Linked DNA regions of Nothobranchius furzeri. The protein of the gene in region 2 interacts with the protein of the main gene of each other region in a pairwise test. Links are inferred from orthologs where the notes say so. Each region holds a gene or a part of one and is shown on either strand. Other genes may lie near its edges.

Region 1 (3,827 bases), on a different chromosome or scaffold from region 2:
GCAATAAGCTGGCAACAAACCAGTCCTGATTTGTTGTTATGGAAATAAACTGAATTGAACTGAATAAAAATGAAAGAGGAAAACTTTTGTTAATAAATCTCAAACCTGGGAAAGTTACTCTGTAGTTCTGGTTCTACTCAGCTGACCCGAGGCCCTCCAGCTGCTGTTTTTGGAGCTGCTCAGTTCCACACACCATCAGTGTGAACTTTGACCTTGGAATTTAAAGTTTTACTACAGGAAGTTCAGGGCTGATCCAGTTCCCTTGGTCAGCAGCAGAACCTCCTTCCTGCTGTTCCTCAGAGGAAAACAGACACTGTTGAGCGAGGATGAACTTTAATCTGCTCACAAACAAGATCACAGTGAATCATTTCCAGCCTAAAGAGAAGTGGAACAGATCAGTGAGCAGAACCAACGGGGCTTACTCAGCATGAACCCCACAGGAACACGGCCGTCGGCAGCATTACAACTCACGTTTATTCACAGGAGAAACAAGAGTCATTAAACAAGTCCAGCATATCTGGGACCGCTCCGTCTGTCACTGCGTCCTGCGGAGACACCTTCACATCCGGATGGTGTAGGAATCCGAACAGGTGACGTAGCGGACCCAGCGCTGCAGTGGGCCAGGCTGGACTGGAGACAGTCGCAGGAAGCGGATCTGAAGCCCAGTGGCGGTGAACTTCGGAAGCTCAAAGCTCAGACCGACTGGACCCACTTCCAACATGGAAGCCGAACTCAGACCTGGAACCTCCAGCTGAGGAGGGAGACAATGGTTCTGTTAGCACCAGGACACCTAGGTGTGTGTGTGTGTGTGACTTTTGGAACCACCTTGAACAGAGCTGATAGCTGAGTCCCTCCAGGGAAGCGGGGGACCTCCCAGACCACGGCTCTGCTCTGCAGCTTCAGCTCGGCTCTCTGGTCTGGACTACTGAGCTCCTGAGACAAACTGAACCAACGACACACGGTTTACAGTTGACACCCCCACACCCAGGTTTCGTTTCGTTTTATTGAGATCCTCATTAGCTTCTGCCTAAGTGCAGATGCTAGTCTTCCTGGGGTCTCATACATTTTCATACAATTGTTTACATAAGATAATACCCTACAAACACACACACACACACACACACATCCCTAATTCACATAATACCAGTAGCTCAAGATGAAATCACATATCTAGAACAAAATGACATATATAAATTAATATCGGGAAAGGAGTTAATCACACCAATAAAGATTGAAAATAAAATATAACAGAATGGTGACATCATGTCCATTGTTTCGTATCATAGCTCATCGATATCCAGTATTCGACCTCAAACCCAGATTCTCAATCCTTCGTTGCAGAGTTCATAGTCACTGTACAATTAAGTGTGTAAACAAAAAAAAATTTCAGTTTCTACTGAAAATAAATGTTATTACTTTCAAAAATTAAAAATCTAGGTAATGCATTCCATGCAATCATAGCTTTATAGTGAAAAGATCCTTGAATTTGATTAGTTCTACTGCGTGGTAAAACACCTTTCATCTCATTTATCTGTCGTGTATTATAAGTATGATTATCTGAAAAAAAAACAATAATTTGCTATGTATAATTTTTGGTGTTTTTGTAATTATTATTTTCCTCACAGTTGTTACCAAGAAATACTTCAATCTACTCTTCACATCAAGCCAAGCAAGTTTTTCATGCATGGTTCCCACATTCGTTCTGTAAGGGCAGCCTAAAACAATACGAGCAGCTTTATTTTGTGCTACTTGTAGCTTATGCAAATTATTTTCACTTGTACTGGACCAAATAATAGATGCTTGATCTACACAAGAAAGCACTAATGATTGAACAAGGCATTTAAGTAAATATTGTGGTATAAATTTGCAACAAAATTTAATTATGCCCATACCTCTCCCCATTTTGCGTAAAACATAATTAATCTGGCTTGTCCATGATAACTTACAATCAACTATTACTCCCAGTAATTTTACTTCTTCTAGTTGTTCCATTACATTGTTACTCAGAGTTAAATGTAACTTTGGCATCGTCTGTAAAGTATGTTTGGAGCCAACTACCATGCATTTAGTTTTTCCTGCAATAATCACTAGTTTGTTAGCAGTTATCCACTGCTCGACTGTTCTCAACTCTTTATTTAATATTTCATTCAGTGCACTCTCCGTATGTGCTGAAGCTAAAACAGTAATATCATCTGCATATACTGCTGTAGTCGCATGTTGCAGCACCCACGGAAAATCATAAAAAAAAAGAAAACAAAAGAGGTCCCAAACAACTTCCCTGTGGAACACCACATTCCATCAGACCCTTTTCAGAAAAACTGCCATTGAAATAAAATTGATATTCTCTGTCAGTAAGATAACTTTTAGTCCAGTTAAGAGCAGATGTATGAAATCCATAGTGTTTAAGTTTTTGTAGTAAAATTTCATGATCTAAAACATCAAAAGCCGCAATTAAATCAAGAAATATAGAACCAATTAGCTTATTATTATCGATATTCTCTAAGCAATAATCAGTTGTTTGAATAAGTGCAGTAGTGGTTGAGTGATTTGTTTTGTAAGCATGTTGATATTTTGTGTTCAATTCATTTACCTCAAAATTATCTTGAATTTGGTCATATGCAATTTTTTCCATGATTTTACTTAACGCTGGTAGCAAACTTATTGGTCGACTGTTTTGACCAGACAGTGGTTCTCTATTGTTCTTAATTAAAGGTATTATTTTTGTTGTTTTCCATTGAGATGGGAAAATACCTTGTTTAAAACTTCCATTCATTATATGAACAATAGGACATGAAATAAAATCTACTAACTTTAACCATTTAATATCAATATCATCTATGCCAGATGGTTTATTTTTACTTTTTAATATTATCTCCTTAACCTTGTCTTCAGTCACTTTATCAAATTGAAATTGGCAGTTTTTATTTAACATTATTTTTTGTTTAATTAGTTGGTAGGAAATATTTTTGGTTTGACTATTTTCCATAGAATCTCGCAACAACTTAATTTTATTAGTTAAAAACTGGTTTAAATAATTAGCAATTTCTGTTGGTTTAGTGAGATAAGTTCTCCCTACATCCAAAAAAGTTGGAGCTGACCTATTATGCCTACCCATCATTTCATTCAATGTACCCCATAATCTTGCACTATCCGATTTTGCATCAGTTAGTCTTTTTTGATAATACAACCGTTTTTATGATTATTTAATTTAGTTACAAAGTTTCGTCCTACCTAGGAGGTAACAGGGTTATATGCTTTGACCTATTGGTCAGCATTTCAGAGATGTTCCAGGTGATGTAACACTGATCTGAGAGCTGCTGCAGGTCAGTCCAACCTTAACCTGTTTAACCCTAACACCTCTGGGGCCTCTACAGTTTCATGTCCCAAACATCTACAACGGTCCTCATTCGCCACACACAACTAAAGCCACAATTAAAACAGCCCAGATGGGAAACAAGGCCATTTTAAATTGTAATAAATTAAGATACAATGATGTTTGAACTTTATTTTAGAAGAGCATCTGACCTTCACTGGTGTCTGCTGGAAAAAAAACCTTGAACAAATGTAGTTGAGGACCCCTGGAATAAATAAAACAACTGACTAAACTGGAATTTGAACTCACAACCCTGTCAGCACTTTCACACAGGGCAGCTCTTCTAAAATAAAGTTCAAGTATTATTTTACCTTAATGTATCAAAAACCAAAAGTTGCTTTTTTACAATATTTTTAAAAAAATTTTTATTTAAATTTTTTTTTTTGTAATTTACCGTGTCCTGTCTGGCTGTGAAGCAAACAGAAAATGTCTGAATGCTGGTGACAAGCCTTAC
Region 2 (4,255 bases):
AGTTACTTGTTACTACAGTTAGCAAAACATTCCACATTTTTCGACTGGTTTGCGATTTGCACCGTAGCAGATAGGCATGCAGATACTGAAAAGCAGCTACTTGGTAAGCTTTGGACCAACCACTGAAGTTTAGGACCATTTTCTGAGCCGTCGTTTATTAGGGTAAGGTGCAGAATTTGAATTTTACTTATGGACCAGCTTCCAGCACTGAAAATCAAGTATTGTAAACTAATTTTAATCACAAAATTCACACTTTACAATTTGTCTCTAGTGCTCTTCATGCGTATGTTAAACACCATGCTTTAGGACACATTACACACACACACACACACCTGAGAAATCCTCTTAATTTCATCACAAACCTTCTGTCTGCTCCTCCAAAACATGTCCTAATCACACGTGGACAGGTGGAATGAAGGGTAGTTTAAAACACTTTTTAAAAAAGCTTCACAATCCTCATAAAAATCAAATCGGGGATAAAGAATACTGAATCACGGGGAACTTATAACATAGTATTGAATTAGTATTGAATTAATTTATTACTTCTGCCATTTCTGTTTTCGGCGCTTCTTTGAGAAGCTTGTAATCTTGGCAAAAAGTGACTGGCCGGTCGCAAAAAGAAGCTGCAGCTGACAACACACGAGTGTATTATGAGATTAAATGTTATTTTTACCTTGGATATAATCACAAGGTGCTGACATGAAACCAAAGTCGTGTACGTAAAATACAAATCAGTATTTGCACATCTAAAAACGTAGATGCACTGTAGTATCGGTTATTTCAGTTTTCCATCATTAAAGGTTTGTTTTCCCTTCTCTTATGCACGGGCATATTACAAGGTGACAATGCAAGAATTCAGCAAGCTGAAACAGAGAAACAAGGTTTTTTTTTCAAGTGGATTTGTCATCAGGGTCAATGCCCTACATCATGTGATGGAGAAACAGTGAGAACAAGAATAATAAAGAAAAAACTGATTCAGTGACATCACTTGCTAAAACTATACCTCAGAAAATGTGTAATCAAAGCTGAACATGCTTTAAATAATTTATTTGAGTTGAGGGTATAATCCAAAAGTCTTCTTGGTCTCTAAATTAAACCATTTTCTGCCGTTAAAACACCCCGACAAACCTAAAAAGCTGTTATAACAATAAAAACCCAACTTTATTAACTATATACTTTGTTTTAGAGCAAAAATTCAAACTGTATCACTCAGTCAAGTATTCAAGTCAGGACAATATACAACACCTGCTCAAGTGTCAGTTTTTAAAAGATCTCAACAGCAACATTGTCCCATGTTGTCCCTGTAAAAGTAATCTATCATCAGATTGTCCTGTAACAAAATTCCATACAGCTGTGTGTCATTTAAATCTCTATTTGGAGCATTTGAAGCTGCCTAACCTTACAGAGGTAACACGAACCTCCTTAAATCCAAAAATGGATTAAAGCAAGCATGCTTCAGTGGAACAAGGTGGAAAAATGATACAGTAACCACCAACGGTAACTAAGATCATATATGGCAGGTAAGACGGTTTGTTTACAATTTTTTTGTTATTTCCCTTATATGCCCAAGTTGTTGTATAAAAAGTTAAAAGTATACTTCACACAAACACAAGTCATCCTTCTTGTGTAAACCGTTATTAATCTAACATGAATGTGGGCAAATAGGGGCAAGTTAAGCACGAATATTTATAAAAAATAATTGTGTATCAATTAGCTCTTTGTAAAACTTGGTGTTTCTAATAAATGTGAGTCTATGCTTATGAAGTTGAAAAGGAAATAAAACCACATAAATAAACAGTGACAGATGTTTCAAGAATCCTATAAACGGAATGCAAATATGCGAGTAGAGCCCTTTAATAGATTCATGTTGGCCTCCAGACTTTCAACAACACATCCAAATACTAGAAACAGTTCCTCCTTTGTGAAAGATTACAACAAAGTAGGGTCGATCACAAAGCAGCGTGCGTTTTGTTAAGATAAAATTGTGTTTTTATCTCGTCACTACGCCAAACAGTAAAGTAAATGTTACCTCATCTTCACCAAACGCAAGTTTACCGAGAATATTAAAGAAGAAAGGGCGCACATTCGACTACTTCCATTTTACCAGCACAAACTCTACGTTAACCACACATGAACCTTAGGAAGTCAAGAGTCAACTGCTCACTAAAATACGTTCATAAACGTTTGATTTAAGCCAAGTTTTACTGTGTGTCATTCAAAATAAATTTTGTAGATATTTGCGCTTGGTTTGTCAATTTTAAAACACTACTGGATCTAATGTCAGAGTCGTCGCATCAGACCAGCTTTAAAAAAGCTAACAACGTCAAATAGCCAAATCCCACAAGCTAATGTTATGCAAGTTAGCTAACAAATGTTGACAAATTTGAGATGTCGTCTATGTTTGAACGCAATGTCAACACAAACGTTTAGGAAGGTTTAAAGTTTGGGAGTATCAGACGCTAAATGTGATGGATAAATGGCAGAACATTCGCTGTTGTTTATATCAAACTGCTTTTAAAAATCCACTAAGCTTTAGATGAAAGAAACTAGCCGCTAACTGTTAGCGGTTAGCCATGTCAGGATAGGCCGTTCAAGTATGTTAGCTTGGAGTTAGCCACGATACGACACATTAAAATAAAGTGGTGACAAAGTTTTCCTTTAATTAATGTGCATAATCCGAAAAGGTGATAGGAGGCTAACTCTGGGGTCGGAACAGGGTCATGTTGTAACCTCACCTCTTTGGGTACGAACTGGTTCTCATCGCTAGGCACCATTTCCATTTGTACGACAGTTTAGACAAGCATCTACCCAGACAAGGATGTCATCGAAAAAACTTTGCAGCAGTAAACACAAACATGGTTCGTGTTCAGTTTGTAGGAAGTCTGGATGGATGGACACCAAAAATGCACTTGCCAAAAGTTGTACGCTTATCAAAGTGATCGTAACACTCTCCGATACTCTACTCAAGCTGTCCTGGCTGCTACAAATAGAGAAAAATGGCCGGTGTTTTTATTCCGCGAGACTTCACTCGAGGAGATTTGGCGTCACATTCTATCAATAACGGCAGGCCAATATATCATATAATCAAACGATTATGATCCATTTACTTTCAGGTACCTTCTATCTAGACGGAAGTGTATTACAGTTTGTTAGAAATTAAGTGAGTTATTTAATGTGCAAAATAATTTATAAAAGTTAGATTGTAAAACCTGAACAGCTGCTGTTGTATTTTAAAGAATAATCTGCATATTGGGATGTTTCTGTTCCCACCACTTTTAACAATACATGTCTTTATACTTAATGCACCCATTCATGTTTCCTCAACAAGACCCTTCATCACTATTTTAACCAACTCCATAACGTGCTTCTATCATGTTTTTAAATAAACTTTATTTTCAACTTCCAACATAACAAACACAAAAAACTAATAGGAACATAATACATAGACAAAGTTTATTTAAAAAGTGCCAGGGGTTTGTCAAAGTACAGAATGTAATAATTAATACCTGAGCTGGGATACTCAAAGATAAACACAGATACACATATTTAAAGCTGTCAAGCTCAGAGCAAAGTCATCAGCATATTAGAGTCAGAGCATATTTTCATTGTTTTACCAGCGTTAAGATTGTGTGAGGTACATAACGTGTGCAAATAAAGCTTAACTTACTTTTGAAAATACAGAACAGAGGCTGGGTTTCCATAACTTTGCATTTGTGTACGTAAAACTTAGCCAAAAGCAAAAATAAATTCATTACAAAAAAGCAGATTTGTGTTTCCTTTCATACATAATAGTAAGTAAGTAAGTAAGTAAAAGTTTATTTATATAGCGCCTTTCACAGATATAAATCACAAAGCGCTGTACAACATGATAAAGATCAGGGCAAATACCTCTAACCAATAAAAACATCAGAAAAACAATAGCAGTGATAAACGTAGAAAATAAAATCATGAGTATAAACAAAGTGAAGGTGTGAACCCGAACAAAGCCATCTTTTTGAAACATTTAATAATAATAATAATACATCCAAACAGTAAATTTTTTAATTGAAGCTGGAAGGAATGCAGATTTTTTCCCCCACAAAGATTCTTCCACTGTTATTGTGTGAATGGAAATGACCAAAATGTGGAAGGTTGTCACAGTCATCATTTTTACCATAACTTGCTTTTTATGCTGACTAAAGCAACGCTTCACCCAAAAGGTGCTTGTTCTTCACAGTCCCACAGTGACTTAATGTGTGCTGAATTAATTTGAAAG

The links.
Region 1: the proteins of usp47 (region 2) and ap4m1 interact in binary tests that used the Homo sapiens proteins (3 or more experiments, as listed by UniProt). The two-hybrid records come from large-scale screens. The link is inferred for Nothobranchius furzeri from reciprocal best matches to the Homo sapiens genes USP47 and AP4M1.

The regions. Positions count from the first base shown.
Region 1 is NC_091750.1:26,818,754-26,822,580, reverse strand, and holds the end of ap4m1 (AP-4 complex subunit mu-1), read right to left. Parts: exon of another isoform or gene 3,767-3,827; intron 944-3,766; coding exon 826-943; intron 752-825; coding exon 560-751; 3' UTR 317-559; downstream 1-316. UniProt on the Homo sapiens protein: Component of the adaptor protein complex 4 (AP-4). Adaptor protein complexes are vesicle coat components involved both in vesicle formation and cargo selection. They control the vesicular transport of proteins in different trafficking pathways.
Region 2 is NC_091749.1:58,085,589-58,089,843, forward strand, and holds the start of usp47 (ubiquitin carboxyl-terminal hydrolase 47), read right to left. Parts: upstream 2,970-4,255; 5' UTR 2,781-2,969; coding exon 2,736-2,780; intron 619-2,735; exon of another isoform or gene 387-618; coding exon of another isoform or gene 363-386; intron 1-362. UniProt on the Homo sapiens protein: Ubiquitin-specific protease that specifically deubiquitinates monoubiquitinated DNA polymerase beta (POLB), stabilizing POLB thereby playing a role in base-excision repair (BER). Acts as a regulator of cell growth and genome integrity.